Alligator mississippiensis: one gene and its partner. The protein of the gene in region 2 interacts with the protein of the main gene of each other region in a pairwise test. Links are inferred from orthologs where the notes say so. Each region holds a gene or a part of one and is shown on either strand. Other genes may lie near its edges. The genes, in order: RAP1B and RGL2.

Region 1 (3,903 bases), on a different chromosome or scaffold from region 2:
AATTTGTAACCTTAACTATAGCCATTGCTACCTTTTTGCTGCGATTAGCAGTACTTCTATCAGCACTAAGTACTGCATTTATTATTTGTGATTAGTTCACGCAGGAAAGCTGTGGATGTTTTTTAAGAGAAGGCACAGGAAATGTATTTCAGTGTTCTCTTTTAATCTATTGGATGTTTGAGGGAGCTGATGGAAATTACACAAACAGGAATAAAAGTATGCTAAAACACAAATATTCTTATTTTAAGAGTAAATAATACAAAACTAATAGTCCCAAGAAACACAAGAGTATCATTTTACTTAAAATATCTCCTTGTAAATATATCTAGTTAAGCAACCAATATCTCCCAGATGAATGATTTTTACCCTGAAAAGTGGACCAGAAGGGAGCAACTGCCTATGTACTTAATTTCTCCCTGCCTGAGTCCCCTTTAATGATCTGCCATTTATAGGGATTCATTATCCAAGTGCTGTACACGGGATTAGCCATAAAAGACCGAGAAGAAATCTTATGACACTTTGTGGAGTTTTGGTGCAAGGGCCTAAGGAAAACTATTTTTAGAAGTAAAAAGAACTTGGTGACCTGAATGTAGATAGGACACGTAATGTGGACTTAGTCACTCTGCTGACTACTTTAGCCACTTCTTCTCTACGTTTATTCTACGTTGTATGGACTCCAAGCACTACAGCAAGTAATGCGCCACTACCATGCATTTGGAGGGAAATGTAATCTTTTTTTCCCCCCTTCTCTATCTCTGCGCTACAAACAGAAAGTGTGTGCTTCCTCCACACCCACTCCCTCTGCCAGCAGCGCCATTGCAACTTCCTGTCAGTTTCTCACTGTGGCAGACTTCCTCTGAATAAGTGTTATCTGCCATGGCATATTAACTGTTTGCTCGCTACTGAGCATTTCCCAGAAGAGCTGTCTTCTTTATTTTTAACACTTACTCTTCCAACCCATTCTGATCTGGAGAGAAAAGGAGCCCTGGTGACTTTTGGGAAAAAAAAGGCATCTTCTATTATTTAATAGAAAATGAACGTATGTGGAGCAGGGAGAAGAGCCAAGACACGTTGCCGTTCTTTCCACATTAATAGATCCCCTGTGGATTTCGGTGGAGGCTGACCCTAGTTGTCAGGAGGCTTAGTAATGCAAGCAAAGAGCAATAGCGTTGTGTGGTTTCTGCTGCCATGTGGGCGAGCATCTGAGGTGCTTGAGAATCAGGGGCCTCGCACTTGTTTTTCTTACGCACGTTTCACAGGTTTTTGAGTCATAGAAGAGGCTCACATCCGTGGCTAGCAGGGGCGACCCGGTTACAGAGCAATGCTGCGGGTGTAGAATGAGGCCTTCCACCCAGGCCAGGCCAGGTCTCTGCCAGTGGGGTTCAGGACACGGGGGCACTTGCACCCATTGGGTGAGGGCCGGTCCCGCTGTCTGCAACCCTGACAGGCGATAGGGGAAGCTCTCCCGCCCGCTAGAACTAGGCGGCCGCAACACCGCCACCCCGCTGAGGGGAGGGCGCCGCGACAGCCTGCGCCTGCGCAGTGTGAGCCGGGGGTAGAGAGGTCACCCCCGCCCCCCGCGCGCTTCCTGCCCCGCCCCCAGGCCGCGCCGGGGACGCCAGAGCGAGGCTAGGCGTGTGGCGTCACGGCGGCGGCCTCGAGCCTCGCCCAGCAGCGGCAGCGAGTACGCGCGGGAGTGGCGCGTCCGGCCGGAGGCCACACGGGCAGCGGCAGCGGCGGTGCCGGCCGGTAGGTAGGCAGGCGGGGAGCGGGACCGGGACCGGGGCCGAGGGGGCCGCGATGGTAGGGGGGCAAGTGCGGGAACATGGCGGAGGCGGCCCCGGCCCGGCCCGGCGCCGCCGCCGCCCAAGTTGTAGCGGAAGCGGAAAGTTGCGAGGCGGCGGCGGGGCGGGGTCGGGCGGCGGCGCCCCGGCAGCCCGCGGCCCCGCCTAGGCTGGGCGCCCCTCCGCGGGGAGGGGCCCGCAGCTCCCTCCCGGCCGCGGGGTCCTGCCCAAGTTGCCGCGGGGTCTCCGCTCCCCCGTGCGCTATTGTGTGCGGAGCTGCGCCGAGCGGTGCCCTGCGGAGGGTCCCCCCGTCTCCCCTCCCCCCAGTCGCCTTCGCAGCCCGGATGTCGGGGGCAGCACGTCGGAGAGTCGTCGGGGCCTGAACAGACCCTGGCTCCGGAGCCCCCGCCGCGCCCCAGTGGAATAAGCCCCGGGCTGTGTTTAGGGCGTGTTAGGCTCTTGGCCAGCTCGAAGGGGGTGGCGGGCCACGAAACCTCTACCGATCTGCTGTGTATCGCCCTTTCCTGCAAGCTGTCCCTTTAAAGAAATAACGTCCGGGTCCAAAGGAAAACGCTTAAGCGTTTGTCATAGATATTGTCTGGTTCAGGCAGCTCTAACAATCTGGGTTGGGTTGTTTCTACAAAGTTTGCTTAAGTAAACCATAGAGGAATCATAAGTTGGGCTGGAACGGACCTACAGAGGTCATCATCTAGTCCAGCTTTTCTCAACTGGTAGGTCACGACCCAAAAGTGGGTCAGAAGAATATATGAAATGGTCACAAACAAACTTTAAAAACAGATTCTCCTTTAAAGGAGGAAAGTGTGGGAAACCATGCGTTTTCCCTTGCTGGCTGGCAGAGCTCCTGCCTGCAAGAGGCTGCTTGGGGCCCCCCACAGGCCCTACACAGCTACCCTTGGTTCCGCACGCTGGGGGCGGAAGGCACTCAGTTGAGACTGGCTATTGATGTTTGCAAATGGATCCTGGTCCAAAAAAGGATGACAATCACTGATCTAGGCCAAAATGTGATTGTACAGAACACCAGTCTCTTCTAGAGGAATTTTGCTGCCTTAAAGGTCTGGTTTCAGTTCCAACATGCATCAGCTCCACTTTCAAATGTTTTAGCAGTGAACTAGTGGACGGGGTGCTTTCCCAAGCTTTTTTTTTTTTTATAACGTAGGTTCACCTAAATATTTCTGTTCCAAAAAAAGATATTGGAAACTCATTTCTTAGTTATAACAAGAAATGTCCTGTAACAGAGATGCCCTAATTAAGTGTTGCTAACCTACTTGATGCATGTACTGTACAACAAATACTTGGATACAAGGCTGACACAGTTCCTTGTTATACTAGGTCATACTTCGAGGCTGCAAAGGGTTTTTCTACCCTTCAGTAAACTTCACAGTAATGGTTTCCTTAATTGTGCAATGGCTTCATGACTGACTTATGCCTTTGTTAAATGGAACCAGTGGAAGAAGTTAATTCAGGGTGCTTTTAAGTGCTTTTATCTACTTTGTTCAGGATTCTGGTTCCTTATTTCTCCTTTCACTGGGAAGAGTCTACAGTATAAAATGTATTCTTCCTTCTGGCTAGAACTGAGATTGCTAACTGATCAGTAAAATGCACCCTGGCTGCTGCTGTAACTGCTGGGTAGCAAAAACTTTGGCAGTGATATTGGCTGTTTGGTTAAAGCAGTTCATCTTCTCTAGGTTCCTGCCTATTGCAGGGACATGCCATCTAACGGTGTTAGGAGATTTCTGGAGGCTATAGACAGCCACGAGTCTTGAACTTAAGTTGTAATAGATACTGTAAGTATTCAAGCCTTGCTTGCATAATACCTCTTGCAATAAAATTGATCATGCTTAGGACTACTTGATCAGCCCTTCCCTCCTTACCCTACTCCTAGTAAAGACTAACTCAGCAATAATTTTTGACCTGTTACTTACAGGCTAGAACTATGCTATCAGTTCACTATTGCTAACTTGGAAAAAGTGTATTTCTGTCTTCAAGAATAAACCTGGAGTTTGCTTAGCAGTTTTCCTGGCTTCCCACTATTTTACATAGTCAGTCAGTCAGTCAGTCAGTCTCTCTTCCCCCCTTAAAAAGGCCTCTGTAAAAGAAA
Region 2 (3,903 bases):
GATCAGGGGTCATGAAGCTGGCAGTGAGATTTGGGGTTGGGGGTCAGAGGGCTCGCAATGAAGTCAGGGGCTGACCTTGGCGGTGCAAATCCACTTCCCAAGCAGGTGCGTGCAGTGCTATGGTGTGGGGGTCAGGGGTCATGGACCTGGCACGAGGGTTAGGGGATGAACTCAGCGACCCGGATCCACTTAAGCAGGTGGGTGCAGTGTTACAGGATTGGGGTCAGAATTGCAAGCCTGGCTGCAGGGTCAGGGTTTAGGGTTACAGGTCTGGCTCCAGGGTTAAGGGCTGAACTCGGCAATGCAGATTCACTTCTGGAACAGGGGGGTGCACTGTTAAGGTACAGGTTAGGGGTTATGGGGCTGGCAGTGGAGTCAGGGGCTGACCTCAGCTACACGGATCCATTTCTCCAGCAGGCGGGCACGCTGTAGTGGGCGCAGGTTGGCAGGCCCCAGGCAGGAGCGGACAACAGCGCCCGCCACGCGGTTGAACTGGCGCACGGTGGCACGGACGCTGGGGCAGGCACCCTCTTGTCCCCGGCGGCCCCGGCGTGACCACAACGAGCCCAGGCACTCATAGGGCACCACGCGCACAAACAGGTCCTGCAGGGGCAAGCGAAGGAGATCAGAGGGATCTACCTCCCGCCCTGCTCCCAAACAGGACAGAGGTAAGTTGGGGTCTGCGGCCGGTATCCCCACCCCGTTGCTTACCGCCTCCAGTAGGGTCAGCTGGGCAGCCACCTGCTCTGCTTGGAAGCCCAGGAAATCCAAGGGATTGGCGTCCTCTTCTGCCTCTTCCTCATCCTCCCCCTCGCCCTCTGGCTCTGCTTGGGGGGGCAGGAATCCAGCATTAGAGCGACAAGCCCCTTATCCCCCCCACACAGCTCAGACTTCACAAGCTTAACTCCACTCCCCAAGTACTGCTTCCCCCTGAGTCCCTCTCACGTGTGTGGGCAGGGGCCCCCAGAAGCTCCTGTAGTTGTTGCTCTGTCTCTGAGCCCTTGCCCGCCGCCACCTGCAGGCTCCGGGACAGCCGTTCCCACAGGCCAGGCTCCAGCACCCCCCTGAAGTCCTCGGGGTACCCCTCCAGCCAGGAGTACAGCACTGACGCGAAGGCCCTGTTGGGGCAGCACAGACATCAGGCAGGGGATGGTGGGGGCAGAGGGATTCACAGACAGACATTTGAGGGGGGTCACTCACCGCCGCACCTCGGTTACATCTGGGGTGGGGGGTCCTGGCTCCAGTGCCCTGACCTCCTCCAGCCTGGGGGAGAAATAGGGGTCAGTGAACGTGGGGGTAGCTGCCTGGAGGCCCCTTGCTCCACCAGCTCCCTCTGGTACCTGTCGAGCAGCAGCTGCAAGACATCGATGGGGCGGGTGAAGGCACGGTGGGTGGCCAGGAAGGCTGGGACGTAGGCAGTGTCGCCCAGGGTCTGAGCCTCCAGCAGGTGCTGCGCCAGCCGGGGCAGAGTCCCTGCTTTCAGGGAGCGGGCTGGCTGCCCCCCCCCGGGGCTCCCCACTGCTGCGGGGGTCTGAGGGGGGAAAAGAGTGTCAGAACCAGCCTCAAACCCACCCCTTCAAGACGGGGGCACCCCTGTAGTGGGTCCCCTGGCACTCACCGCTGGGCGCGTGGCCACCATGTAGATGGCACCATCCTCTGCTGCCTCTGTCAGCGTCACTGGGGCCTGTAGGAGGGGGCAACAGGGTCACTTAGGGCCCCCCTGTCTCCCAGCTACCCCCAGCCCCACTCCTGGCTCACCTTGGCAGGCAGGCAGTACCAGCGTGTGCGGGACAGTGGGGGCCCCTCCTGCCCCCCTGGGTCCAGGCAGCCACCTAGCCGCAGGAACAGCTTCATGGCGCCCAGGGGTCCCTACAGGCCATCCCTCCACTCCAGCTCGCTGTGCACGGGGCTCCGGGGACTGACAGGGCCGAGGGAGGGCCCTTGCCTGGCTCCCGTGCCTGCCACTAGCCTGGGACAGGCCTGGAGCTGCGGGAACCTGAGCTGGGAGGGGCGGGGGCCCCTGTCCCCCTGCTCCTGCCAGGGCAGCTGGGCCGGCCCTGGCCCTGGCCCTGCCGGGTCCGGCCTGGCTCCACGTCCTCCAGGCCCCGTCGGTCCCTGGCTGTCGGCCCGGAGCGCCCTGGCTTCTCTCTCCCCGGTGCTTCCGCCTTCGGGCCCGGGCCCGCCCCCGCCCCGCCTCGCCCCGCCCCGCGCCGCGCCCCTCCCGCTCACCTGGGGCAGGTGGCAGGGGTCGGGGCAGCTCCGGTAGCCGCTGAGCACCACGCCCGGCGCGCGGCCCCCCGGCGCGTCCGCCCCGTCCAGCAGGAGGCGCCGCGAGCGCGAGAGCATGGGGGAGCGGGCGCTCAGCACCCCGGGGTGCCCGGCATGGGCAGGGCAGGGCCCGGCCTGCGGCAGAGGAGCAGAGATCAGTGCCTGCCCCGCCGCGCGCCACGGGCACCCCGGGAGCCCCCTGCCCCCTACCCGCCCCGGGAGCTTCCAGTCCCGAGGGCACCTGGGTCCCGCGGCGGTCGGGTCGGGTCGGGTCTGGGCGGGCGGGCGGGCAGGCGGGGCCGGAGCGGAGCGGAGCGGCCTCGGCCAGTCCGCGGGCTCCAGCGCCGGGGCTTCCCGCAGCCCCGCCCGGCCCGGCTCGGCCCCGCCGCCTCGGGGCAGGAAGCTGCACAATGGCTCGGCTTCCGGCCCTGCGCGGCGCCTTCCGCACACGCAGAGGCACACTCGTGCACTTGCATGCACACACACACACACACACACACACACACACATGCACGCGCGTGCGCTTTCGTCTGTGCACACATCTGCACGTGTGCGTACGTATGTGTACACTTATGTACCTGCATGCATGCACCTGTACACGCATACTCAGATGGGCACACTCACGCACTTGCATGCACACACCTGCCCAAGCATGTACCTGCATGCACAGGTATGTGCCTACATCCATGCACCTGCACATGCATGCTACTCTACTTGCACATGCCTGCACCTGGATGCACACATCTGCACAGGCATGTACCTACACACTCATGTACAAACCTGCATACCAGCACCTGTCTATCCATGCAAGTATGTGCATGCATATGTATGCACACACCTGTATATGCATGTGCATGCAGCACCCTATCCCTATGGCTCCAGGGCTGGAAGCACCAGAAGCCCCTTGCTCCTCAGCCCAGCAGGTTGGGGGTGTGGGGACTCCATGGGGACTTGGAAAATGAAGAAGAGGCCTGGTTGGGGGAGTCACAGCAAATGCCTTTATTTACACACTGGAAGGCCTCAGCCTCCTGCTTCCATACAGTAGTATAAAGCCCCACTCCCACCAGGGGCAAGGGAAGGGGGAGCAGGGGGAGTATAGGCCGGGTGGGGGGAGCTAGGGGATTGGGGGGTGGGTCTCAAAAAGGAGAAGGGGGTTTCCAGCTGCAGAGGGGAGGGGAGTGGGAGTGCAGAAGTAATGGCACGGGGCACAGGAGGGTCCTGGTAGGGGTTTGGAGGGTGTCAACAGGTGTACCAGGGCCATCTGGAGAATCAGACCTTTCTTAACCTTGCCAGCCCCCCTCCCAGCCTTCATCTTTGGGTTCACAGTTGCATCCCAGGGGGCCTCAGAGGCCACAACTCCCTCCTTGATCTCCTTGGGCGGCTCCACTCCGGCTTCACTCTGACTTCTATGGGGAGAAAGAGCTGTCAGCTAGAGTCCAGCAGGGCCGGGCTGGGTGTCCCTTGCAGACTGACTACCTCACTCAGGGGTGCACAAAGTACCTGAAGCACTGGGTTGGTCTCTGTTGACCCCGCTGCCACCCCATCCCCCTTTTCTCCAGCTTCTAGACCCTCGACCTGACCACCGCTGAGTTAGTCTCAAAGATGCACCCTGTCCTCCTGCCTGCAGGGAGGACA

The links.
Region 1: the proteins of RGL2 (region 2) and RAP1B interact in a two-hybrid assay, tested with the Homo sapiens proteins (2 studies listed by BioGRID and IntAct). The link is inferred for Alligator mississippiensis from reciprocal best matches to the Homo sapiens genes RGL2 and RAP1B.

The regions. Positions count from the first base shown.
Region 1 is NC_081827.1:69,300,157-69,304,059, forward strand, and holds the start of RAP1B (ras-related protein Rap-1b), read left to right. Parts: upstream 1-1,594; 5' UTR 1,595-1,753; intron 1,754-3,903. UniProt on the Homo sapiens protein: GTP-binding protein that possesses intrinsic GTPase activity. Contributes to the polarizing activity of KRIT1 and CDH5 in the establishment and maintenance of correct endothelial cell polarity and vascular lumen.
Region 2 is NC_081834.1:64,826,495-64,830,397, forward strand, and holds the start of RGL2 (ral guanine nucleotide dissociation stimulator-like 2), read right to left. Parts: upstream 2,625-3,903; 5' UTR 2,510-2,624; intron 2,404-2,509; 5' UTR 2,347-2,403; coding exon 2,230-2,346; intron 2,155-2,229; exon of another isoform or gene 1,855-2,154; coding exon of another isoform or gene 1,759-1,854; intron 1,685-1,758; coding exon 1,619-1,684; intron 1,532-1,618; coding exon 1,341-1,531; intron 1,264-1,340; coding exon 1,201-1,263; intron 1,119-1,200; coding exon 946-1,118; intron 825-945; coding exon 712-824; intron 604-711; coding exon 388-603; intron 1-387. Other genes in the region: TAPBP (tapasin), read right to left, coding at 3,663-3,674. UniProt on the Homo sapiens protein: Probable guanine nucleotide exchange factor. Putative effector of Ras and/or Rap. Associates with the GTP-bound form of Rap 1A and H-Ras in vitro.